7 linked regions of the Sus scrofa genome follow. The protein of the gene in region 5 interacts with the protein of the main gene of each other region in a pairwise test. Links are inferred from orthologs where the notes say so. Each region holds a gene or a part of one and is shown on either strand. Other genes may lie near its edges.

Region 1 (3,500 bases), on a different chromosome or scaffold from region 5:
GATAAATTTCAGTTTAATATACTGAAATAAATTTCCTATCTTCATTTTGAAATTTCAACAAAAAGAAATATGTTATTAAGTAGTGAAATATGTAAATATAAATATATAATATTTGGTATGCTTCTAATTAAGAGTTTCTCTTTTTTAAAATACTGGTCTTGGTTTACTAGTGGTCTGAGAAATTTGGTCAGTATATTATTATTGTCACTGAATTACAGTAAATGAAAGGAATAATTGCTCCAAGTCAGCACTAGTTCAAATATGATTTGACATAAACTAATGTTAACAAAAATAATTACAACCATGAATCTATATTATTATATTAAGTATTATAATGAGTGAATTGGTTTGACATCCCTACAGAACACTTACTAAAATGTGTTTTTCCACAGCTGAAAGTGGTATACATTTAATATTATATGGTCTTTTTTCAGTCAATAGCAGTTAACTTAGTTGGTATAATGAAACCCCTTCAGTAGATTAAATGGATGGTTCATAAAAAGACAATTTATGATCTGTAACTCTATAAAAGGAAATGGAAAAAAAATGGGAGTAGTTAATATCATGAAGGTAAAATGTTATCTAAGATCATTTACACCAGAAACTCTTTGATAATAAAAATGGGTAATCTTATACAACCACAGAACTTTATTAATTTGTAGATTAACCTGCATGTTTTGAGAATTTATTTTAAAGAAAATGTTCCACTTGCTAATCCTCAATATAGTTATGTTGCTATATTGAATAAAGTGATGGATGTACATACTGATAAGAAAGGTTTGCATTTACCAATTAATTTGTCTTTGCTATTTATATGGAAAGCTGCTTTTAATTCCTTTTTAAAGCTCTGGAATTACTGAGACTCTTTTCAGTGTTGTCTGTGAAGCTACTTTGTTTCTCTAAAACAGTTCATCACTTCTTTAGCAGTACCCCTTAGTGTATCTTGTACACACCAGTGATATGCCTGTCTCATTCACTGGCCTACGAAATCTTTAAGGACACAGATCATGTCTTATTCATAATATTTTATTTTTAGAACTTAAAATACTAACCACAGTAGGAAGTTAATTTATGTGTCAGATGTCATTTTGACAGCAAGTTACAGAAAACTCAACAGTCATAGCTTAAATAAATTTAGGTAATCATTCTCACACAGCAAGGAAACCAGGGGTATGGATTCTATCTTTCAGGCAGCAGCTCCATCATTACACAAAGCTTTTTTCATTCTTCTGTTTCACTATTTTTAATGTTACAGGGTGGCTGTTACATTTACCTTCTTGCAGAATCTTGTCTTTGATCAGGCAGGAGGAGAGCAGAAATAAAAGTGTTTCTCAGTCTGATGATTTCACATTTTTCTGAATGGGAGACTTCTCTAGCAGACTTCCCCTGACCTCTCATCAGTCCGAACCAGGTCACATGCTGCTTTAAACCTATTTATTATCTATTAGGAATGATGAATTAAATGGAGGTTATCCGAAAGGTTTAGACCAATCATAATTTAGCCCCTGGGATTGGAATAGGAGCTTATCCTTCCAAAGATCAATAGATTCTGCCTTCTACCTGAACAAATTGGGCTTTAGTTAGCAGGGGAAAAGGGACCATTGAGAAGTTAATGGACAATATATGTTGCAATAAATATTACCTGAAAAGAACTGGATATGTTGAAATGAATTATTCATGTCCTATGCTATCCCCCGCTGCATCTTTATATATTATTTGTATTTATTTGGCAAATTTAAATAGGAGAAATCTCTGTTTCTTTGAGGGTAATTACAAATGCAGAAATTCCTCTATATTTTTAGCTACAATGGGAAGGGAAATATACAATATTGAAAAAGACACATTGTTTTCATCAACTTCCTTTTTTAAATGTCGGTCTTGCTCTTATAATTGCAGGGGAAATTCGAATGCAATTATGTTCTCTGTCTTTTCTTAGGCCTGAAAAGATAAATATGAATTTAGATTCCATTCGTCGGTTAATTGAGGAAACACAAATCTTCCAGAGGCAGCAGTCATCAGTTAAACCAGCATGTGACCTGGTGGTGCCTGCCTCATCCCCCAGGGACACCTGTGGTCCCTATTTGCCACTTTATGGGCTGCAATCTCATGCCTATCACAACGTCTGTGCTCACTCATGCAACAGTAATGAATGGGATATTTGTGAGGAGCTTCGACTGCGGGAACTGGAGGAGGTCAAGGCCAGAGCTGCTCAGATGGAGAAGACCATGCGGTGGTGGTCAGACTGCACTGCCAACTGGAGAGAAAAGTGGAGTAAAGTTCGAGCTGAAAGGAACAGTGCCAGGGAGGAAGCAAGACAACTCAGGATAAAATTAGAGATGACCATGAAGGAACTGAGTACTCTGAAAAGGAAGCAAAATTTGTCACCTCAAAAGGAGGCTTTGGAAGCTAGAGTTATTCAGGACCTTAAGCTTCCTGGTTTCAGAGATGTGTCCTCTACACAGAGAGACTCAATTCAAATTGGTTCCAAAACCTGTGAGTCCATCAGAGAGTGTTTGGGAAAAAGAGAATTTCCTACCAAGGAGAACACAAAGAGTAAGGTCAGAAAAAATCCAGAGGAATCCAGAGATTTTTTGAATGCTATAGACAGTAATGAGGAGGGAAAGGAAAATAGCAAAACCAGTGGTTACTGTGTTTGTTTGTGTGGGCTGCCAGAACTAACTGCCCACAGACTGGGGGACTTCAGCAACAGAAATTCATTTTCTCAGAGTTCTAGAGGCTAGAAGTCTGAGGTGGGTCAAGGTGTCAGCAGGGCTAGTTTCCTTGGAGGCCTGTCTCCTTGGCTTACAGATAGCTGTCTTCTCCCTGTGTCTCCATATTGTCTTTGTGCATCTTTGTCCAGATTTCTTCTTCTTTTGTGGATGCCATCACTAGGCCCACACTAATTAAGCTCATCTTAACTTAATTACCTCTTAAAGACCCTATCTCCAAACACAGTCACATCCTGAGATATTTGGAGGGGGTTGGGACCTTAACATATGAATTTTAGGGGAGACACAAGTCAGCCTATGTTACTCATACTTTTAGCCAAAATTAACCCAGCATTTTTTAATGTTAAAAGAAAATATTTATGGAGATTTCTCTCCATTTACTCTAGTAAACCATTACTAAGAAATTATCCGTACAGTAGTTTAAACCTTTCCTGAAGGTTGGGACTCTGTCCTCACAATTAATCACTCAAAGATAGGTAACTTAGGCAAATATCTTTAGGGACTGCTTCACACTACCTACTCTTGGAATTTCTTGGTATACTTGAATCTTGAAGTTTCTGAGATTTCTGCACACAATAAAAAATTTTAAAACTTTAATCTAGCAGTTCATACACTTATCTATCAATGAAACACCCCTCCTCCCATATATATATATCTACAACTCATGGAATATACATTTGGAAACTAGGAATTTGTGTTCGCTCTTCAAGTAGAATTAGTTTATATTATTACCTCTTTCTAGTTAATTCTACCTCTACAACCATAAATCAA
Region 2 (3,994 bases), on a different chromosome or scaffold from region 5:
AAAATCAGAAGAGCTGAGTAACTTTCATTGGGATGGAAAAAGAACATCTTTTCCTTTTTTATATTTTTTCATGAAGAGTCCAACTCTTTGTCCATTGACACTGGCCCAAATGCTATGACCCGGCAGAACTGAGATCACATAAACTGGTTTTTGTTTTGGTTGACACTTGACTTCGCCCATGTTAGAGTAATAATTTACAATTATTTACACTCACTTAAAAACTCTATTACAAATACGCATACTTTCTCTACTTCCCCTGTGATATGCCATGACCCCATTGTATAAACTCTTACTCACTGGAAGTACAATAAATATTTGTTGATTGATTTGGTTGATGCAACTGTAAGCTTTGTTTTCAGTTCAAGGTCTACATTTTACTGATAATCTTAAAATATTAATTGCTATACATCAGAACGTGTTGGGTAACATCCTGCTTCCCAGACACACACACACACATTCACCCTTATCCCCAACTCGCTCCTTCCAATAGAGCTTGTTGCGGGGAGGACACTGCGGGAGAGAATCCAGTAGAAGGAAAGACCCACAATGCTGCTTGAGCTGTCGAGGTGCCCAAACAGCAACTTACTGGCGCAAAGTAAAAAAAAGACCAGCAGGGGTGGGGATGTAGTGGAAGAAGAGGGAACTTCATCAAAGATGCAACTGACAACTCCTAGAGGCTTCTAGATTCCATCCGAACAGGAAAAATTAAAGGTTAGAAAGCAGTGGCAGGGCGGTGTCCCCTGCCATGTTTTAATCCACTAGTAACAAGCCCGGAGCAGACTTCTCCAGTGTTCTTGAAGAGCGGGCCCCCCAAACCAAGAGCGGTAATTAGGCGAGACCACTGCGGGCAGAGACGCCGCCTAAGCAGAAGGAGCAGAAGAGCTGCTGCCCTCCTCAGAAAGCCAGGAAGCCCCCTCCCGCGCGCAGGTGGGATGGAGCCCCAGGCCTCGAGGACGCAGGGCGAGGAAAGGGGTACCGGTGCCCCTCCTAGCGACCCTTGCCTGCCCCGCCAGGGGGAGCGTCTGCGCGCTTCTGTTGGCTGACGGGACCCAGCAAGCGACGTAGGGCGGCGGCTCGGCGGCGCGGCTCCCCTCCCGCGTCCCCACCCCCTCCCCGCCCGCCCCCGGCGCGGCCCTGCCCGCCCCCTCCGCCCCCTCCCGCGGCGCCATGCGCAGACTCAGTTCCTGGAGAAAGATGGCGACAGCCGAGAAGCAGAAACACGACGGGCGGGTGAAAATCGGCCACTACATCCTGGGGGACACGCTGGGGGTCGGGACCTTCGGCAAAGTGAAGGGTGAGGACCCCCAGGGCAAGAGGCGGCCCCGGCCCGGGATCCGAACGACTTCCGCCTTTCGCACCTCTTCATCCTCCCCCGCCCCTTGCGTTCCTCGTCTCCCGGGCTCGGCAGCGCCTGTCCTGACTCGGAGGGAGCGGAGCCCGAGGCCGCCGCGGGACTGCGGCGCGGCGCCCCCAGGCTGGGTGGGGGTGGGGTGGGGACTGGTCGCCGTGGCGACGGTGCCGCGGCTGGAGAAGCTCGTCAGTGCAAGGGGCGGGGATGCGGAGGTGCGAACTTTCCCAGGCCCGGCTATCCCGGGCTGCGCGCTGCGCTCCTGGTGGTGGGTGGGGGTCCTGGGGTCTTGGCCGGGAACCCCGGGGAGGCGGCCTAGCCTTCGTCCCAGCTGTGCTCCCTGGGCTCAGGGCCAGCCCATCGCTTTTCTGGCCATCCTCGGCATTGTCCGTATTTCCGTCCTCTTTAGGAGGCTCTTGGCTTACCTGCCCTGGCTTATTCTCAAGTATGAAATGTGTCCCCCCCCCCCCCCCGCCCAAATAAGGTTGCTTTAAGGGTAGTTTGCAGAATTAAGAAAATCAAAGAGGCCATGTCGTCGGAAAGGATCATTAAATTTTTTCGGAGCAGTAAATAAGTATAAACCAGTCTTATATGTGTTTGCGATCCATGGCTTATGGTCTGAATGCAGACTCCACGCCTTCAGTGTTTCTGAATTAACAGTTTTGCGGTCTCTGGCCAAACCTGGTAGGCAGTGCAGATTTTGCCTCCAGATAACGTTTATAAATTCATTGATGCTGTTCGTCTCCTTCTATTATCACAGGCTATTTCCATTTTAATAAATAGTTTAGCACACATCATTTGAAAACCAATTTTTAAGAAAAGTGGAGTCGCTTACCTTTGTGTCGACAGACTATTTTGGAAATAACAAACTTGCTCTTCAGTCCACCAATTCTGGCACAAAAAGTTTAATTGCAAATTTTGTGAGGCATAAATATTTTTTCTTCAAAATATTTGACTTTGAAATTAGAGATGTAGAGAAGAGGACGGAAGTATGAAACTGATAAAAATAATTCATGCATTGGCTTTGGATAAATAATAGCCTATGACTTACATATACAAGCTCTTGGTAAATATTTGATTTGAAAGAGAAAAAAGTTTGTGAAAGTCTGTACAGTGAATTAACTAACTGAGCCTTGCTCTATCAGAGCTAAATAAACATTTTCTGGTTTTACCTAGGGATGGAAGAGGAGAGAGCCCTTTCTTCTCTTGCCCTTTCTGAGTCATAGAACTGGAAAATTGCTGTAGAGCCCACAGGGAAGCAACTGCCTAAACCTTCTTAAGAAAATCAGCAAGGCCAACAATGTAAGAGAAAGTAAGAAGCAAATGCCAGAATAGGGTACTATTTACAGCCATGAGGGTGGGTCTGTGTTAGGCCAGTAAGATGTTTCTGTGCCCTGGAAGTTATTTATTTTTGGCGATATTGTCTCTTTATTTGTTAGCAATTATAGACTGCTTTCAGTTTGCAGGTATTTGTAAGAAATACTCATTAACACCTTCAAAATAGTAATGGCAGTCTTGATGCTTTCACCCTTACTCAGAGTTCTCCTTGGATCAGGATGCTCATCATTTTCCTAATATAGACCTGAGCAGAGTCGGGTCTGGCAGATAGGAAAACATGGGGGTATTTTTGCATTTTCTGGATTTGATCTATGATGTGGCTGTGACATGAAGCTCTCCAATGACTGCTTTTCCTTAACCTTCGCTCCTCCACATGTACCTCTCTTGAAATACCACAAACTGTCAAAGTCAACAATCTCTCCAAATATGGAAAGTCCAGTATTAGTCAAAGGATTGTGGGTTTCATAGAAATGGTTACATTTGTTCATAAATACATTAATTGATGGTGGTCAAAATCCTCAACCAGTGCATTTTTAAAATTGTTAAACAGATGGGATGCTTTTTGTCCCAAATAATAGAAAATCCAACTCATCCTAGCCAAGAACATTTCTTTCTGTAATTATCTGTCCAGAGTAAGGAAGCCCAGCGTAGCCCTCATGAGTCTCATTGGTCATTCAGTCCCTGTGGCCAGGGACACATGTGTTAACTGACTTAGGCTTGTGTTCCTATAAGTACGTACTGACAAGGGAGTTGGCATTAACCTTGGAGGAATGTGGGCTACTCTTGGATGTGTGTATGGGGGCATCTTCTTCTGAAGTACTTGAATAATATGAGGGGACAGGGTGGAATATGTACACAGCAGTGGGTATTTTTGGAAGAAAGAGGGACATGATTCTTGGTGAGCAGGCAGAAATAGCTACTTGTGGTGATGTTGATAACATAGTTTTTGATAAGAATTTGACAAGAGTTCTTATAAATTATATGATTAGTCATAAATGGCGACAGATTGAGGAGATACAGCTTTTAGAATTAGTCATACACATTGGTGAATTTAACAGAAGAAAATGTAATAGAAGATGTGATATTGATATGCAGAAAAGTTCCCAATATGATATTCCATCTTAGAGGAAACTTAAGGGACAGGGTGGCAGGCAGAGAGGACTGTACATCCCTAGGGATTATTTTGTACTTGTTACAAGGTAAAAAAAAAAAAAAAAAAAAAAAAAAAAAAAAAAAAAAATCCTTTGGTAATTTGGTGGTAACATTTTGAGGGAAAACTTTAAATAGACAACTAGGGTTAATTTAGGA
Region 3 (3,500 bases), on a different chromosome or scaffold from region 5:
ACCCAAGTCAGTGTTGTGGCTGGAGAGAAGCTGGCGGAATTTTTCTAGGCGGGTTTTCTCCCGGACAGTCATCGGGGGTGCCCCAGAGGCGTTCTGGTCTGAGATCCGGGCAACGAGGGGGATGATGGGTCGGAGAGGGAGTGACTGCTGTTTGTGGAGTGGGTTCCTCAGGCACGTGTCACCTGGGAGAATGTGATAGAGAAGGAGAGTAGGCTGGGTGCAGGTGGCGATCGGGAGACCCCACACCTGACAGTTCAGCACGGGCTCTGCGCTGCCCGAGGGGGCTCATGTGGGGCAGCTGGGGATGGAAACCCAGCCAGCTCCACTTGCCTGCCCAGGGCCTGAGTGGAGTGAACGTTAAAGCAGCTGACTCGTAGAGGGTGAAAGGGAAGCAGTTGGTCAGAGCCCTTTCTCGTCCACACCAAGGTGCCTCGTGTGTCAATGGAGACCACAGCGGCTGTAGCAACTTTGACTATGTTTTTGGTGACTTCGGGGGAAAATGAATCATTTTCTTTCTACCCTAACCTGGAACTTTTCTTTGGGGCAATGCAGTCAAAGGCAGGGCTGGCCTTCCGTTCACACATCACAGAGCGCATGGAAAAGAAGGACACGGTGGAGCACACTGCAGCACACGGAGGCAGCTGCTCGCCCCAGGCGGCTGCCCCAAGGGCAGAGATGCTCAACATCTGGCACAACTCTCACCTGTTCTTGGCCCACCATGTACCCTGCACACCAGGCCAGAGGCTCTGGCCAGGGGCAGGCCCGCTCTGAGTGGCTGCGGTTCCTCTGCACGCCTACACTTCTCACCAAAAAAAGCCAGCTTTTAATTCTGCCGGGATGTGATTGAAATAACAGGAACACAGACTCAAGCTGAACTCTATGTCTGGTTTGGAAACTTCTAAACTAGACGGCAGGTAGAGAAATGAGCAGAGGACTGACATTTACTGAACGCTTAATATGCATAAAGAATCATGCTAGGAGTTCCCGTTGTGGCTCAGTGGTTAATGAATCTGACTAGGAATCATAAGGACGCAGGTTCAATCCCTGGCCTAGCTCAGTGGGTTAAGGATCCAGTGTTGCTGTGAGCTGTGGTGTAGGTCACAGACGTGGCTCGGATCCCATGCTGCTGTGGCTCTGGCGAAGGCCGGTGGCTACAGCTCCAACTGGACCCCTAGCCTGGGAACCTCCATGTGCCGCGAGTGCAGCCCTAAAAAAAAAAAAAAAAAAATCATGCTGGTCATATCCACACATGACCTCTCATTTGGTCCTTACAAGACTTGGTAGGAGTTCCCCACTGGTTTAGAGAGGAGGAAACTGCAGCTCAGAGAGGTAAGTAACCTGTGGGGAGAGCTGGGACAGCACCTTAGCTCTGACTCTAAAACCCTTCTGTATTTTACTACTCCCAACAAAACTCATGACTGTCCTTTCGTGACTCATATTCTTTAGGCATTTGGGCCTTAAAAAGCAGTAGTCACAGCAAGAATTAAACAGTGAACACTCCTCAGCCAGCACAACTAGGTTAACAGGAACAAGAGCCACATAGGACTTGGCTTGGATCCCTGGTGCTACATGGGGCCTGGGAGACGCAGACCACACACCACAGAGTGAGGCCGACCTGCACCTCCGGAGTCAGGAGTCACAGACAGGTGTCCACAGGAAGAAGCCCTATAACGGGAATGTTCTGGGCGGTCTGGCTGAACAAGGGCAGCTCATTAGGGACCATGGTGGGGTCTTCCTTATACTAGGACCCTCTGGAGACCCTCAAACATGGAGTGAGGACACTTCTTGTAGCCTATAGCTATGGCCACATGGTCAACAGACCCTGAATGCCTGCAACGGGCACAGCGTGCAGGTGGGGCCCAAATCGGTGATGGAAAGGGACTATGGAATGATCGGAAAGGGTCTTACAGCCTAATTTCACGACCACAGCCTCAGTCCAAAACTGTAAAAGCAGCTCTCTCACAACGTGAGCCGGGACACACTCTAGGGCTCTGACCTCCTGCGTCCCTTTCAGCCTTTACCAGTCAGCTGCTTTAACTTTCACTCCGACGAGGGCCCTTCCCTCTCAGCGCAGAATAACTGGCTTTCATAAAACCCTGTAGGACAACCTTAAATACAGCAATAATTTAAGACTCTGACATTTAACAGAGTACACCGAGCAACCCCAAACATCTGATAAAACCACCATCATCTCAGCCAGTTACTGCTGCCAGTTTCCTGAGAAAAAGCAGAAGGGGTACCTCCTCCTCCTGCCCCACCCAACCTGGTGGGCTGGGAGCTGTGACACAGGGACCCTGTTCCTCAGGAACAGGAAAAAGACAACCTGAATGCTGGTGGTTGTTCTCCACAGCTGAGGAGGTCAACCAACAGAGCCAAACATGTATGAAATTCAGCCACTAACAACTTGAACTGCATTTCATGGGTATTCTTCAACCTGACCAGGACTAAAACAATGCGAAGCAATCGAACCACAAAAGTTTGGACCCCACCGCAGGGAAAGGAAGAAGAGAATGGCAGGCAACGGTGGGTGTCAGGAGGTGAAGCCCCAGGTCCCAGAGCCAGGCAGCCATTTGGGTGGGGGTGGGAGAAACAAGGCCAGCTCATGACCAGTTAGGTTCCCTGACATCACCTCTCAGGCCAGAGCTTGCTTACTTATCATCCAATGCAAGATCTGAGGGATGTTCTAAAGAAAAATTGGTTTTACTTAAAATCTACTCTGCTGAAAAGGTGGAACCTATGGAGGGGAGCAGGACGAACTTACTGGAATTTCTGGACAGCTGAGCATCACTGCTGGACTTTATGACCTTGTAGCTGGCCGGAACATCGGATGTTGTGGACTGGGACCGTTCTGGTTTCACCCTCAGCTTGCTGTGGTTTTCTAGCACTTGGGCGGCAGTTGCCAAAGCAACTTTTGAGTTCACAGTTTGGAAAGCAGGGGAGGAAAAGTCCTCTTCCTCATCATCGCCAATGTCCCAAGCATCGCTGGTGTTCCGGGCAAACTCATGAAAACTGGAAGCCTTCTTACTCTTCAGAGGAACCGTGTTGACTTTTGACCGCTCTTTAATGAAGCTTTAAGAAAGGAGACACCGTTACCAAGGGAATGGTCTGACACATCTTAACATCAAGTGCTTAATATAATATCAATAGCATCACAAACTGTCTCATGCACACTCATTACCTTCTTCAAACACAAAATATCCACATCTATTCCTCACCCAGGCCAGCCCTATGCTGCAGAGACAGACGAAACTAAGACACCGTGCTCTCCAAAGAGTCCGCGTGCCCTTCTACTCCTCCCAGTCCCTTGCGCTCAGGTGAGCCTGTATGATTGGTTCTGGCCAGTGCGCTGAGGAGAGAAGTGAGGCAGTCACTTCCAAGCCAAGGGACAGAACAGGTGTGAGTTCTCCAGAAGCTCTCCTCTACTGTGATCACTGGAGGGGCTCCAGAGGGTGGTGCCTCCCTCAGCTGGAAAAAAGAGTGACTATGGGGAGCAGAGCCTG
Region 4 (3,500 bases), on a different chromosome or scaffold from region 5:
GCTGTAGCCATTGGCCTACGCCAGAGCCACAGCAACGTGGGATCCGAGCCGCGTCTGCAACCTACACCACAGCTCACGGCAATGCCGGATCATTAACCCACTGAGCAAGGGCAGGGACCGAACCCGCAACCTCATGATTCCTAGTCGGATTCGTTAACCACTGCGCCATGACGGGAACTCCAAAAGCCATTCTAAGTTGTAATCATCACCATGTATAGTACTAATAATTAATTCTATCTCACAGAAATAGTCCCCTTCATTACTGTTCTTTTATAGAAAATTTGTGCTATTTTTGCACTTTGTTTTAGAATTTCTTTTAAAACATTACAGATAAGACTGAAATGATGTTTAACCACCATTCTTCAATCTTGATTCTTTTGCCTCAATACTTCTCCCTTCCCTGTCCGCGGAGGAAACCACTTTATCAGTTAGTGTGCTGTCCCTCTGCTACTGTTTTTCTACATATTAATATGCTTAACCACAGAAAATATGCAATGATGTTATGTGGCTTTTGTTTGGTTTAGGGTTACTGCCTGTATTGTTCTGCAAATCTGCTTTTTTCACTTGGTAACAAAGCCTTGAAATATGTACTGCATACTTTAACTGCCTTCTATTACTGGATATCAGAGCTCTTCAAACTTTAGAAAGCTTAAGAATTCACCAAGAGAGATTGTTAAAATTCAGACTTCTGGGACCTACCCCAGATAATTCTAGGGAGCCTAAGAATTAATTTCAAACATCAAACTCCCTGTGATGTTGATACTGTTTGTTTACTACCACACTATGAATAATAGCACAATTCCCCAATATGAACAAATCACAAAATCAAGCCATTCCCTTATTAGTGGATCTTTAGGTTGATTCCAATTTGTCTTCAATTACAAACAATACAGCCCTAGTGCAAAAAAGTGCAGTTTCTCTAACACAGATATCAACAAGTGAAATCTGCATTGTAATAGGTGGTTTTTAAAGACAAAACTGACCTAGAGAAACAAATCCCTAACAATGAAATGTCAGGCCAGGTGGTAAAAAAAACTTCTTGACACTCCTCAAATTCACATTGGCATGTCTCATTGAGTTCTGTGCTTTACAAGACATTAAATGTTTTACAGCACAAATGAAGTGACTAAGGTACATTTAAGCAGCTAGTTTTCTGAGCTTCCTTCATCCTTCCCTTCCTGTGCTATCCTTCTCTGAGGTGTATAACTCTGGGGAATAAGAGTAAAGGGATGGTGTACAAAGCTCAAGTAAGGAGGCAACTCTGCAGTCTGCTTTCCTGATCATCAACTCCCTTATGCAACCTCTATAGGTCTGAAAAGGTTCATGATGCTTGAGAACAGGTAAATAAAACTGAACCCTCAATAAGAAATAAGAGATGATAACCGAATTGATGCTATTAGCACATTAAAAGGTATTGATCAATTCAGGAATTCTCATGATATGAGGTTTTTAACAGGAGCTTAAAGAAAAGAAGATATACTGAACCAACTCGACATATTTAATTAAGTTTACAATATTTAAATGATTTGGAAAACCAATTTGCTAAATTTATAAGTTCCCTCCCAGACACAGAACAAATGTAATAGCCTTTTGATGTAATAGCATAACCTGACCCTGGGTTGTCTCCCCCTAGGTAATTAGTGTTGTGTGCATTTCTAGCTGTACCTGCAAGAAGTATCAAGTTAGGCAATGGTGTCTCAGAATGCCTAAAGCAAAGTGCAGCAGGCAGACACAGGGAAAATATTTTATCACCTGAATCCGTGTTCTCCTCTTAGGCAATTAATTCCTTGAAAAGAGGCCTGAGTGAGCAATGAACCAGGTGACTCAAACCCCTCTCAACAAAGCTGACGCAACCTCACTCAAAGGCAAAACACTAAAATGAAGGATCGTGACTGAAGTTTTTTGATTGGTGTATTTATCACAGACATCCTTCTGTGTCCATGTTTCCAACTGCTGCATAGTTTTCCACTATGTCTGGTTCTGATTCCAGGACTTTACTGCCATTGAGGTCCTGTGCTACACCAAAGCCATAAAACACAAACAGCTTCGGTGCCAGCTCACTCTGGAAAGAATACAATTCATGCTCTCAGATAGAAGAGATTCCCCTGTACGATTTCCAGCCAGGAGAACTGAAGCATTTGCTTTGGTTATTTTATTTATCATTAGGGGGAAAAAATCTTTGTCATAAATTACTCAATAATCCTAACTGCCACCTTCCCACAAGAACTTATTTCTTGTTCCCAAAATGTCCCAGCACTTTTTCTTTTGTTTCTGAAGAGCTACATGGGCAAAAACATAAATTTCTACACAAGTTCACAAAAAAATATACTCAGCATTTACTGTGTGCCATGCGCTACTTCACATCTTTCATACTTATTATTTAATCCTTAGAACAACTCCATGAAGTAAGTCCTGCTGATATCCACATTTTACAGACGAAGAAGAAAATCCAAAGATATTAATTTCTTTCCTAAGATCTAACAAATGTCATCCCCAAACACAAAACTATGTAGCAGATGGAAAAATTCTGACATAGAAGGATGTTTATTTTATATATATATATATATATATATATACACGACAATGGTCAGAAATAATATAGATCAATATAAATAATGACTGGGGGATGATGTCAAGTTATTTATGCCAAGCTATAATATAATGTCATAATTCCTCTTTCCTTTTTTTGGCCACACTGGTGGCATGCAGCAGTTCCCAGGCCAGGGACTGAACACATGTTATTGCTGTGACAACACTGGATCCTTAACCCACTGAGGCACAGGGGAACTCATATACTTCTTTTTTTGGTCATTTCCTAACTTTTGTATATGAAATGAATAACAACTCTGACCCTTTTTCTCTTTTCCCTCCAGGGGGCAGGGGGAGGGCGGCAGGGGAAATGATGCAGAGTATATAAATCTAGATTATGGAAATTTAAACAGAGGCATAATGTTTTAGTCAGTCAGGAGTTCAGAGTTTAGAAAATGTTTAACATAGTAGACAGAAAGTTAGTTTGACCAAAAAAAAAAAAAAAAAAAAAAAAAACAATCAAAATAAATTCATGAAGTTCTTATACTGAACATATTCCAAGATACAACTTCCTAACACCCAGTTCTTACCTGTCAGTTGATGTTGGGCTAGTAGCCACTGGTGTTTCTGCTGGCTTTTCTGCAGGTTTCTCTTGTTTCGTTGCACTAGCAGGTGCAGGTTCAGAAGATGCTGTCGTTGATGCTGGGGTGATGGATGCAGGAGTGGGAGTAGGAGCCAAAGCAGGGGCTGGGGTTGGGGCCTGAGCCGCAGCTGGTGCTGTGGAGGAACTAACTGTGGTAGTGGTGGCAGAATTTGATTGCTGAGTTGTAGCCGGTGCTGGTGTTGTCACTGCTTTGGGCTAAATATATTACAAAGTAAAATAATGCATTATGACAAAATATTACATTATGACATGATCTCTGAAAGCTACAAACAAATGTAACACTAATACAAATTTGTTACTTGAAAAT
Region 5 (4,151 bases):
CCTCAGGGCTCTGCAGGGGAACCAAGGTCAGTGCGTGTTTGGAGGGGAGGGGAGCAGGGAGCGGGGTGCCTTGATACGTGGGTCACGAGGGGCTACAGAGACACAGGTGGGCTCCCAGCACAGGGAGGCCCAGGCACCTTGACACGGCCCCTAAGGTCTCCGGGGCCAGTGTGGGTGGCAGGCGTCTTCGGGTGCCCCTCACCTAGGCTGGCTGCCTGGGTTGCAGGCTTTGGGGCTGACTTTGGCATAGGCAGCTGGTGAGTGGTGATTTGCCAGGCCAGTCCCAGGTCTCCAGCGGCACAGACATCAAACCGAACCAAACGCCCCTCCCTCCCACCCACCAATCCTCTCTCCTCCTTCCCGTCTCCTCCCCTCCTTGTCCCTCCTCCTCTTTCTACATCCTCCTCCCTCTTCTTCCTTCTCCTCCTGCATCTTCTCCTCCACTCTCCCACCCCTCCTCTTCCTCCTCCCCGTCCTCTTTCCCCGCCCTCTCCCTCCTGCTCCTGCTTGGGAACTAAAGTTTCCTTGCGCTTGCACACCCACTCGCACCAAAGCAGCTGTGCCCACTAGGGTACCCTGCACCCTGCCTCTCAAGCTGAGCCTCTGACACGGAGACCTTCTCCGCACAGACTTTGCTGACCTTGTCCCCACAGCCCTTCCAGCTTAAGGGGGAGGAGGCTGCCTGTAGGCTGGTGCTGGGCTCCCAGGGCCTCTGGGTCTCCTCCCCTCACTTGCGCAGAGGCTCCAGGGTGCTGCCTTCCTGGGGCTCCCCTAGAGCGGTGTAGATGATCCTGAAGACGGGCTGGACCCTGCGGGCTCCCCTCCGGGGCATCTCTTCTCCGCCCCACAGCTCTTCCTCACCAGCGCTGGCTCCTTCCAGAAGGGCTGGCCCCGGGGGAGGCTCCCCTGGGCCCCACATGGCCTGGGGGCCCATCAGCTTCATCAGCTCAGAGCCTACCCTCTGGGCATTAAGGAGTGGCCAGATGCCAGGGTCCATGCCGGAGCCCCCCACCACACCTTCTTCAGCCTCTTCTGCCTTGGGGTCTCTCTCCGAGGCTTGGCCACCCCACCTGCCGAGTGTGCTGGCCCCCTGCTTGCATTGCCAGTGCCTCTCCCAGGCCCTGTGCTGACTGGCCCTCACTGGGCTGCATGGGGCTTGGTTGGTAGAGCCCCTCTGAGCTGGCAGAAGACAAGGGGGCTCGGCCTGGGCCTGGCTGCCCTGCCACTCTCTCCCCCTCAAGTCCCCCGCTCTTGGTGTGGGCTGCTCCTTCATCTCATTAAAATATTTTAGTTGCCTGCTAGGGGAAGGGGTGCCTGGAGTACTGAGCCTACGCTTCCTAGGGCTCGGGGTGGCTCATTGCCCCAGCCCCCATCTCGTTTCCCGACTCTGCTGCTGCAAACTGAGGCTTCTGTTTGCTGGAGCTTGGTTCTCCACGCTAGGACATGCTGCCTGGCTGTGGCCTCCCTCCCCACTACCGTAGCAGCATGACATGCGCCTGCGCTTCAGGGACAGGCTAATCCCTTCCTGGATGGTCTGAGTGCTGCTCTCGTTAAAGGGCCCCGTCTGCACCACGACCTGAGGCATTGGGACACTGGCTTCCACCAGCACCGGCCTGCCGGAGGCCCTGCGGCCCCTCCCCACTTGCCTCTCCTTCGTCAGGCCCATGGTGGCCTCCCACTCCTCTTCATCTCGAATGACCTGCATTAACTCGAGGAAAGTGGGAGCACGACCTCGCTGATCCAGGAGCTCTAACTTGGCCCGGAGGCTGGTGCTCATGCAGGACCGAGCCAGGATGTGTTTCAGGCGAATCATGTCTGTGCTTCTCACGGACAAGGGGCTATTTTGCACGGCTTTCTGCAGCAGGGGCTCTAACCGTAGCAAAAAACTAGAGATTTTCTCTCCCGATTTCTGGAAGGTCTGGAGGAACTTAAATTGTGAGGTTCTGCAGTCCTCTTTAGTCCCAAAAATTTGCTTCAGGGCGTCCAGACACTGCTCCACGGTCATAGATTCATCATTGGCCCGGAGCACCCGCACGACAGATAGGGCAGAGCCGCGAAGGCTCTCCAGCAGACGGCGCCTCTTCTCGACCTCTGACACCTGCCAGAGTTGCATCAACTCAGTGACGTGCTCCAGCCAGCCTTCAAAGCTGTCTTCGTCTGGGCCTGGGAAAGTGCTTCCCGAAAACACTCTGAGTTTTCGGTACCACACATTTTCTTTCAGAGGCTGCAAGGCTGGTGACCTGACCTGATCCGAGGCCTCTGGCTCCATGCCCTCAGTGGGAGTGCTATATCCCAGGGTCTTGGCCACATCTACCATTCTCCGGCCCTCGTCTTTCAGGAAGTAGTTGAGTCTATTCATAAACTCATCATCTGAGCTGCGGGGTTTCACAACCACTTCCCAGGCACCTCCCTTTCCTGGTATCTCTCTGGGAATCATAGCATAATTGACAGTATCAGCCAACTCAATGAAAACTGCCTTAGCATTATCTTCCCTTCTGAACATTCTGCCCAGCACCCTGTAGGTGCACAGGGGATGTAAGCCTGCCTTCACGGTCTCTTTAATTTCAGCCTCACTGCACTCCACGGGGATCCCCACAATCAGCAGGGCCTTCCTGGGGTCCAGGTCCATCCCCTTGCACCAATCCTCCAACAGTGTCACAGCCATTGCTCCCACTTTCTATGAACTGATCTAATACCAGGTGCAGGGACCAGCTCACAGAGTTTGATCAGGACTCAGGCAAGTCAAGGCCAAATATGAAGGCAGAATCGTCCTGGGTTTCCACAGCCTATAATGTGAATGGGGTGAGAGCATCATTAATGGCCACCCTCCCATCCCCACCAAAAGCCCCTCCTCTGCCCCCACTTCCACTCACAGAACCTCATTCTCTGCCTCACAGGGCTCCCCCAGTCATTTGGTGGAGGGGTCTCTGCAGGCCAAGCTCCCCCCACCTCACTCTTTCCCTGCTGACCTCTGCTTGCCGTGGGTTCGTCCTCAAAGTCCGAAGACCCTACTGTCTGTGCTGGAAGTGCCTGCAGTGAAAAATCCAGCCTCAGGAGGTGGGGCCTAATGCCTGGGAACACTTTCAAAGCTCTCCAACTAGGAGAAGACCAGAGGCTGTCCCACTCCCTGGCTCGGGGCTGTGCAGGCCCAGGGCACCTGGTACCCTTACTGCTGGGGCAAAGTTTAGAGGACAGAGATGTGGCGTTCCCTCCTTTCTCAGGATATGCCTGACAAAGGAGAAAGATGGCTGGAGCGCTGCACAGGGCATTGAAGCTGGTGGGTATGGAGAACGTGTGACAAGCTGCAGTGTTGCCATGGATGAAGCATGTGGACTACGGGTTTCACAGGGGGTGTCATGCGGAAAGGCTAAGGAGCAACAGGTGATGTCACTGGCCTCCAACCCATGAAGAGGGAGGGGAATGGGGGGGGGTGGGCAGCAAGGATCAAGTACTGAAAAAGAACTTAGTTTCAAACTGTGTAGAAGCTAGAAGCAAGGACAGAAAAGGGACTCCAAAAGGGTCTCCAGTACCACACCGTAGGAAACAGACAATGCTCACCCTGGCTTTGACCTTACTCTGCCAGACCCTTGGCAGGCAGGCAACCCCGCCCCTCCTGCTTTTCATCAGGGTTACAGAAGCCTCTGCAACACAGGCCCACCTCCCAGCTATTTACCATCTGATTAGGGACCCATTCACAGTGCAGATGAGGGGATTTCACCCGCACTCAACACTAGGCCTGCCCTGGGGATCTGGCCAGTCAGGCAGTTTCTGGTCCTGGGGTGGTGGGTACTGCTTCACTGGATCTGTCCAAGGCCAAGCACAGGTATTTTGCTATGGTTCTGGCTGACATGCTGCTGCTCTGCCTATGCCAATTCTATATACAGAGGTGCCCACAAGTATTCTGGTACTGGAATACAAGAAACTGCTCAACTGGTACTCAGTGCTAGGGCAGGTTATTACCTTTCCTCAGTTCCACCCGGATCTCAAACTCACTGCCAAGTCCCACTCCTACTGAGGCACAAACTCCATCTTAAGCTCCACCCCACCTAAGCTCAACCCCTCACACCAAGCCCCACCGCCACGGAAGTTAGACCCCTGCTCCCACCAACTCTCATTTCTTCCCATGTCCCATCCCCACCCCAGCCCCACCC
Region 6 (3,500 bases), on a different chromosome or scaffold from region 5:
TGAATTCTGATAGATACTAGTTGGGTTCTTAACGCGCAGAGCCACAATGGGAACTCCACAAGAAAAAAAATTTTTTTCTACTTCTTTAATTATGTATCTATATGAGATGATAGATGTTCACTAAACTTATTGTAATCACTTCATGGGGGCACAGTCCTTAAGCACTGGCCTGCTGTGGCCCCCTTTGCCTGGCAAAGCAATAAAGCTATCTTTTCCTCCTTCACTCAAAATTCTGTCTCTGAGTTTGTATTTGGCACCAGCAGACGGAGGCTTCAGCAACAAATTTTGGGGGCTCGTCTGGGATTTGCCATGGGCAGACGGCCCCTCAGGGCTCTCAGCTTGATCAAAGGCTCTGAAGTTTTTCTCCATACCAGTATCCCATTGGGTGAACAGAGGACTCTTTTGGAGGCCAGATCACTGAGAGTTTCCTGCCACAGAGCCGGGCCCCCGAAGAGACCTGACTGGCCATCTCGGGAGTTGGAACTCTAGGCTGGAAATGTGGTTGGAAGGCAAGGACCACCCTAGCAGCTGCTGAGGCTCCACCAGCCTGCAGGGATCTCCTTCCTTTCCCTCTGCTGCCAACCCAAACTTTCCACTTCAAGAAACTTTTTTGGGAAGGAGAAAAGTAGCATCTGGGATATTGTGACACCTCTGCCAGCATCTGGGTAAGTCCCCTGGCATGCACTCTGAGGCCCCCTGGATCTTGTCCATCTGGGGAACCTTCGGTTCCCATTTGGGAATTTTCTTTTTGGGAGATCCTATTTGTAAGGAGTCCCTTGGACTAAGGTCCTGGGCTCAGTGGGACTTGGAAGCCAATTTGGAACCGCTTAGCATGCTCCCTGGACATTGTCTGTCTGGAGAACCTTTGATTCCCATTTGAGGATTTTCCTTTCAGGAGATCCCATTGGTAATTCTGTGGCTTCCTTTTGGCTGGTGAGGATTCAGTTTTGCTTTCAGTTTTGTGCTCGAATATTTAATCCATCTGATGATAACCTAGGAAAGATTTTGACAGAGGTTCTAACCTAGACCTCAGTTTTGTGAGCTACGGAAAAATAAAGCCAATATGGGAAACATCTCTGAAACGCCATCAGGCAGTTCCCTGGGGAAGATCGCAGGTGACTAGTCAACTTATGGCTATAAACCAATGACTAAAATACCCTCAGCTTGCTTAGTTGAAAGAGACTTAGGGGTCTGGACTGAGTGTTTAGGTAAGAGGCTGATCTGATGCTTTTCCTTAATTCATCTGCTGTAATGAAATTTGCTGGGATAAAGGTGAAGGTATTAGATGAGAGTGTTTGCTCCGAAGAAAAGGGATCAGACTCCTCCTGGCTGATTACAGTTTTCTCAGGTGACTGAGAGATCTAATGGGGGCGGTGGAGTCCTCATGATGTGCAGTGGTCCCACAGGGAAACATTAATTAAAACTCATTTGTTAATTAAGCTCAACCAGGGACATGAATAAGAACTGGCCATTTGACGATCTGAGCACCCGTGGTGTCCTAGATGGGAGATCCAAGACACATAAGAGAGAGCTGAAGCAACTCTGGGCTAAAACCTAGAGGAATTAAGCTCTTGAGCACCACACTGGCCTACTACACATCGTCATTAGTAAACTTTATCCCTGACAAAGTCAACTTTAAAATGGGAAAGAGTCTCAGAAAAATGAGGAGGACCAGAAAGCCAGCCTCCAACTAACACCTCAGCCAGATTTATGTACATACAAAACTTATACCTACAACTATCTATTTAATTGAGTATTAAAGGGAAAAAAACTTGCTCTAAAAAAAGACAATCACTTCATGATGCATGTAAATCAAATCACTATGCTTAAATGTGCACAGTGTTGTATGTCAATTACATCTCAATAAAACGTGAAGGAGCTTCCCTTGTGGTGCAACAGATACAAACCCGACTGGTATCCATGAGGATGCAGGTTTGATCCCTGGTCTCGCTCAGTGGGTTCAGGATCTGGCATTGCTGTGAGCTGTGATATAGGTCGCAGATGTGGCTCGGATCCTGCATTGCTATGGCTGTGGCACAGGCCAGCAGCTGTAGCAGCTAGGGGAGCTTCCACATGCTGCAGGTGTGGCCCTAAAAAGCAAAAAACAAAATAAAACGAAACAGAAAAAACATTTTTAATAAATTGAAAATAACAATCACTTTGACTTTTACACATTCCAAGCATATTTTACATTTGTACAACTTCTCAAAGATATAATCTATGGAAGGTATCCTGCCTCTAGAAATAGTCTTAAATCATTACATGACTGGCACAATATCCTGTAGAAAGAAAACTGCACAGGAATATCATCCGAAGCATTTCCATGAAAAAAATCAGCCAAGAAAAACATAGACTAAAGGAACAATGACGAAGGGAAATCAGAGTGACTATCCGAATAATGGGAAAAGTTAAAAATTATAAGAGGAACCTAAGGAAACAGATTTAATAGCTCAAACCAGCAGTCGAGCTTCTGCAGTTATGTCCACTCATGAGACTTACCACTGGACAAAACTAGCTGCACCAAAGGCACGTTCCAAAACATGTCTGGGCAGCCCTCAACCAGTCTACCAAAGCTAAGCAGTCACTGCCACTACATAATCAGCATTGCCCTGCTCTACTTTTCATATATCTTGGCTGCTTCCTAAAGCCTCTTCTGGGCCCGCCCTACTGGCAAAGCACTCACGTACTTACTATTCAGTGAAGAACCTGGCAATGCCATATTGGCTAATATCTTCCTTGTTCTCTAGCAGCTGGCATACCGCATCTTCCATGTATGTGAGGACATGTCGCTGGGCTACAAAAATAAAGAAAAAGCAAGAGAGAAAGAGAGAGTGAGAAGTAGACCAAAAACGAAACAAAACAAAAATCATCATCCCAGTCCCAGCAGGAGGCCATGAAAGTCACTCAAAATGCTGGTTCTGCCATAGGAAGTAGACTGGAATAGGCAAACAAAACTTGCTGGCAAAATAAGTGACATACTCTCAAAGGGTAGAATGGGAGACGATATAACATGACCTACTCCATCTGACTGGCTGTTAGTATTAACATCAACCCTTCACTCTTCATTTCAGTGATGAGGGTGAGGTGCTTCAGCATCATTTGGCAGAAGCACCTGGGCATTCTTATCTCCTATCTCTTTCCATCCTCTTCCACTTCTGCGTGTCTCAGAAATTTATCCCAGGGGAAAAGTGATTCTACACCAGAAACATGGATGACTTGATTGCAAAGAAAACTCAATTCTTTAATTAAAAAAAAAAGTCACTGGGAGTTTTCTTGTGGCACAGAGGGTTAAGGATCTGGTGTTGTCACTGCAGCAGCCCTGGTCACTGCTGTGGTGTGGGTTTGATCACTGGCTTGGGAAATTCTGCATGCCTTGGATGTGGCAAAAAAAAAAAAAAAAAAAAAAAAAAAAAAAAGCCACTGAAAAAGTTTAAGGACCATGAAAATTTCAGTAAAGGTTTGTAAGTGATAACTTTGGTAAATAATAAAGAGCATGAAAT
Region 7 (2,775 bases), on a different chromosome or scaffold from region 5:
GCATGTGGTTTGCTGGAGGACTTGGGGGTTTCTCTGAGATCATAACTGGATCAATGACTTGATTTTTAAGATGTAACATGGAGAGTGTCACTTTATAGATAACTCTAAAATAATATTCTGTCTTGGTGCCTTAAGCTTTCTAGCCGAAGGGAAGGTGGGAAAAGAAAGCTGATGTTATGTGTGTTTTTAATACTATTTCACATCTCCTAGATGAGCACCATGCCTGGACTCCCTACCCGGCCCTGTTTCTATGACATCGATTTGGACCCTGAAACTGAGCAGGTGAATGGGCTGTTCTAAACAGGTGAGCTGTTACTGGTGAAAATTTTGCTTTTTTCCCTCATGGGGCATATTTATGAATTATAGGACTCCCAACTAAAACTATGAAAATGTAAATGTAACGCTTGCGGAAGATTCCTTTCCAGACATATCTGAGAGGAGAGGGGGCAGTAATGAGAGTTGGCAGTAACTGATGAATGAAATATTTATATTTCAATATGCTTTTGGAAGAACACAGTTCATCACAGTTTGGCAGTATAGGGGAGAATAAGCTTGGGAGGAACCACAGTGGAGGTTAGAGCTCCTCTGTAGAGCCCCAGGAGGCTCCAGGCTTGGAGTCGATGGCACAGTGGAGGGCAGAGCTCCTCTGTAGAGCCCCAGGAGGCTCCAGGTTTGGAGTCGATGGCACAGTGGAGGCAGGAGCAGAAGATCTGGATACTCTGAATAGAGAGTTAGCCAGAAAGTGAGTAAACGTCCTAGAAAATAGAAAAGGGCCAGTTTAGGAGTTCCCATCATGGCTCAGCGGTTAACCCATCCACCTAGAATCCATGAGGACACGGGGTCAATCCCTGGCCTCGCTCAGTGGGTTAAGGATCTGGTGTTGCCATGAGCTGTGGTGTAGGTTGCAGATGTGGCTCAGATCTTGCATTGCTGTGGCTATGGTGTAGGCCAGCAGCTACAGCTCCGGTTCGACCCCTAGCCTGGGAACCTTCATATGCCACACACGTGGCCCTAAAAAGACAAAAAAAAAAAAAGAAGAAGAAGAAAGGAAAAGGCCAGTTCAGGAGTTCTTGGGCTCTTAAGTGAAGGGCCCCCAAGTACTCATCATAATGAATGAGCCACCCCTGGATATAGCAGGTAAAATTTCAAAACCATCCATGATGAAAATCCTTCTCCAGAGAAGAAAAAAATGACTTGCCTATGGAAAAAAAAAGAGAGAGAGGATTAGACTAAACTGTCTTCTTAGCAGCTGTAAGAGACTTTTAGACAATGGAGGAATGCCCTCCAAGTTCGCAGGGAAAGATGACTTTCCACTTGTATTTACACCCCACCAAACCTATCCAGATGTTTTCAGGCACGTATAGGCTTGCCACCCTCACATCTCTTCCCAGGAAGAGATTTAGCAGTGTACTCCAGCAAAACGAGGACCAAACCAAGAAAAAGGAAGTCATGGTTTTTCAGGAAAACTGTCACTAGAGTCCTGACAACTGCAAGTGACCCAGAGTTACAAATCCAACATGGAACAGGAGGAAGAAGAGGTACTGAGAAAGACTGGAGAGAGCTGGGAAGACAGAGGTGTCGAAATGTAATAATGCAAAACAAAAGCTCTCACGTTAAGGAAGTAGAAGTCCGGGTGGATGCAAACCACAGGCATCATCTATGCAACTGTAAGGATAAGTTGCTCATGGAAGCCACTCTGCTTACAACGCAGAGACGATGTGCTTGATGCTGGAGGAGCAGTGTTGAAGAGACATGTGACCTTGGAAAGGTCCTCCTGGCTCATGATCGGTCTGGCATTGAACAGTATTTACACAGCCATGATGCAAATGCTGGGCATTGTTTTCAGGTCTATGAAAGGCCCTAGAAGAGTTGGCTGTGGGAAAGGATGTCAAGGTTAACAGCTTTGGCGGTGGGAGAGGGTGATGGTGCAGCGTGGAAGGGAAGTATTATTTCAGCACTTAGAGAAAACCTGTATTTCTTGTTTCTTTTCCCTTCCAGATTGTCCAGCTTCAGGAAGCTGCTTTGAAGGTTTGGCCAGTGTTTATTCAGGCCCCCTGTCAGGAAGTGTGGGGAGATCAGAAGTCAGTCCCTGCCCCGAAGATCTTCAGAAATAAGTAGTGGGAGTTTCCCCAGAAGCCTTTCTTCAGTCTTACTTCCCATCATCATGTATAAATTAGCATAAATCACACACATCTTTAATTACTAAATCCATAGAATAAAAGCACATAATTTTGCAGCCCCCGTGTTCAGATGTAAATTGTAGCATTAGCAGACTGTGCTGCCACGTTCTCTGCTGTCCCAGGCGATCCATGCACCAGGCAGACCTCTGGGACTGAAGAAGCAAATTGCGGTCTGTACTTTATGGTACTGTTGTGTTTAAAGGGGAAACTGTGAGTCTCTGTGTATTTCTGGGAACACATGTAATCAGGAGGCCTGAGAGTGTTGAGGGAGAAGTAGAGTTTAGAGGATGTGCCTTTTCATCATATACTTTGCTGTGTTGTTCCATATTTTTTTTCCCCTGGAAAAGTATTGCTTATACAGGTTTTTGTTCTGAACTTCCTTGGAAATTCCTTTTCCTGTCATAGCTTTAGCACCATCCCTTTTTTTTTTTTTTTTTTTTTGGCCACTTATATGGCACATGGGAGTTTCCAGGCCAGGGATTGAACCCATACCACAACAGCAACCCCAGGCCATTGCTGGATCCTTAACCCACTGCACCACAAGGGAACTCACTCACACCATTCATTTTTAAAGTCCTCAGTAAGGATGGTTGCA

The links.
Region 1: the proteins of PNMA5 (region 5) and CCDC102B interact in binary tests that used the Homo sapiens proteins (3 or more experiments, as listed by UniProt). The two-hybrid records come from large-scale screens. The link is inferred for Sus scrofa from reciprocal best matches to the Homo sapiens genes PNMA5 and CCDC102B.
Region 2: the proteins of PNMA5 (region 5) and PRKAA1 interact in binary tests that used the Homo sapiens proteins (3 or more experiments, as listed by UniProt). The two-hybrid records come from large-scale screens. The link is inferred for Sus scrofa from reciprocal best matches to the Homo sapiens genes PNMA5 and PRKAA1.
Region 3: the proteins of PNMA5 (region 5) and TBC1D22B interact in binary tests that used the Homo sapiens proteins (3 or more experiments, as listed by UniProt). The link is inferred for Sus scrofa from reciprocal best matches to the Homo sapiens genes PNMA5 and TBC1D22B.
Region 4: the proteins of PNMA5 (region 5) and RAD23B interact in binary tests that used the Homo sapiens proteins (3 or more experiments, as listed by UniProt). The two-hybrid records come from large-scale screens. The link is inferred for Sus scrofa from reciprocal best matches to the Homo sapiens genes PNMA5 and RAD23B.
Region 6: the proteins of PNMA5 (region 5) and C2H11orf49 interact in binary tests that used the Homo sapiens proteins (3 or more experiments, as listed by UniProt). The two-hybrid records come from large-scale screens. The link is inferred for Sus scrofa from reciprocal best matches to the Homo sapiens genes PNMA5 and CSTPP1.
Region 7: the proteins of PNMA5 (region 5) and ZBTB25 interact in binary tests that used the Homo sapiens proteins (3 or more experiments, as listed by UniProt). The two-hybrid records come from large-scale screens. The link is inferred for Sus scrofa from reciprocal best matches to the Homo sapiens genes PNMA5 and ZBTB25.

The regions. Positions count from the first base shown.
Region 1 is NC_010443.5:153,888,097-153,891,596, reverse strand, and holds part of CCDC102B (coiled-coil domain-containing protein 102B), read left to right. Parts: intron 1-1,936; 5' UTR 1,937-1,952; coding exon 1,953-2,558; intron 2,559-3,500. UniProt on the Homo sapiens protein: During interphase, forms fibers at the proximal ends of centrioles to maintain centrosome cohesion. During mitosis, dissociates from the centrosome following phosphorylation to allow centrosome separation. Contributes to CROCC/rootletin filament formation.
Region 2 is NC_010458.4:25,780,682-25,784,675, reverse strand, and holds the start of PRKAA1 (5'-AMP-activated protein kinase catalytic subunit alpha-1), read left to right. Parts: upstream 1-1,194; coding exon 1,195-1,294; intron 1,295-2,524; exon of another isoform or gene 2,525-2,660; intron 2,661-3,994. UniProt on the Homo sapiens protein: Catalytic subunit of AMP-activated protein kinase (AMPK), an energy sensor protein kinase that plays a key role in regulating cellular energy metabolism.
Region 3 is NC_010449.5:32,866,678-32,870,177, reverse strand, and holds part of TBC1D22B (TBC1 domain family member 22B), read right to left. Parts: intron 3,070-3,500; coding exon 2,762-3,069; intron 183-2,761; coding exon 3-182; intron 1-2. UniProt on the Homo sapiens protein: May act as a GTPase-activating protein for Rab family protein(s).
Region 4 is NC_010443.5:248,468,491-248,471,990, reverse strand, and holds part of RAD23B (UV excision repair protein RAD23 homolog B), read right to left. Parts: intron 3,389-3,500; coding exon 3,120-3,388; intron 1-3,119. UniProt on the Homo sapiens protein: Multiubiquitin chain receptor involved in modulation of proteasomal degradation. Binds to polyubiquitin chains.
Region 5 is NC_010461.5:123,997,551-124,001,701, reverse strand, and holds PNMA5 (paraneoplastic antigen-like protein 5), read right to left. Parts: upstream 2,768-4,151; 5' UTR 2,666-2,767; coding exon 1,355-2,665; 3' UTR 501-1,354; downstream 1-500.
Region 6 is NC_010444.4:15,558,127-15,561,626, forward strand, and holds part of C2H11orf49 (UPF0705 protein C11orf49 homolog), read right to left. Parts: intron 2,795-3,500; coding exon 2,692-2,794; intron 1-2,691. UniProt on the Homo sapiens protein: Regulator of the tubulin polyglutamylase complex (TPGC) that controls cytoskeletal organization, nuclear shape, and cilium disassembly by balancing microtubule and actin assembly.
Region 7 is NC_010449.5:88,531,455-88,534,229, forward strand, and holds the end of ZBTB25 (zinc finger and BTB domain-containing protein 25), read right to left. Parts: intron 2,237-2,775; exon of another isoform or gene 1,999-2,236; intron 756-1,998; coding exon 575-755; 3' UTR 501-574; downstream 1-500. Other genes in the region: MTHFD1 (C-1-tetrahydrofolate synthase, cytoplasmic), read left to right, coding at 211-300. UniProt on the Homo sapiens protein: May be involved in transcriptional regulation.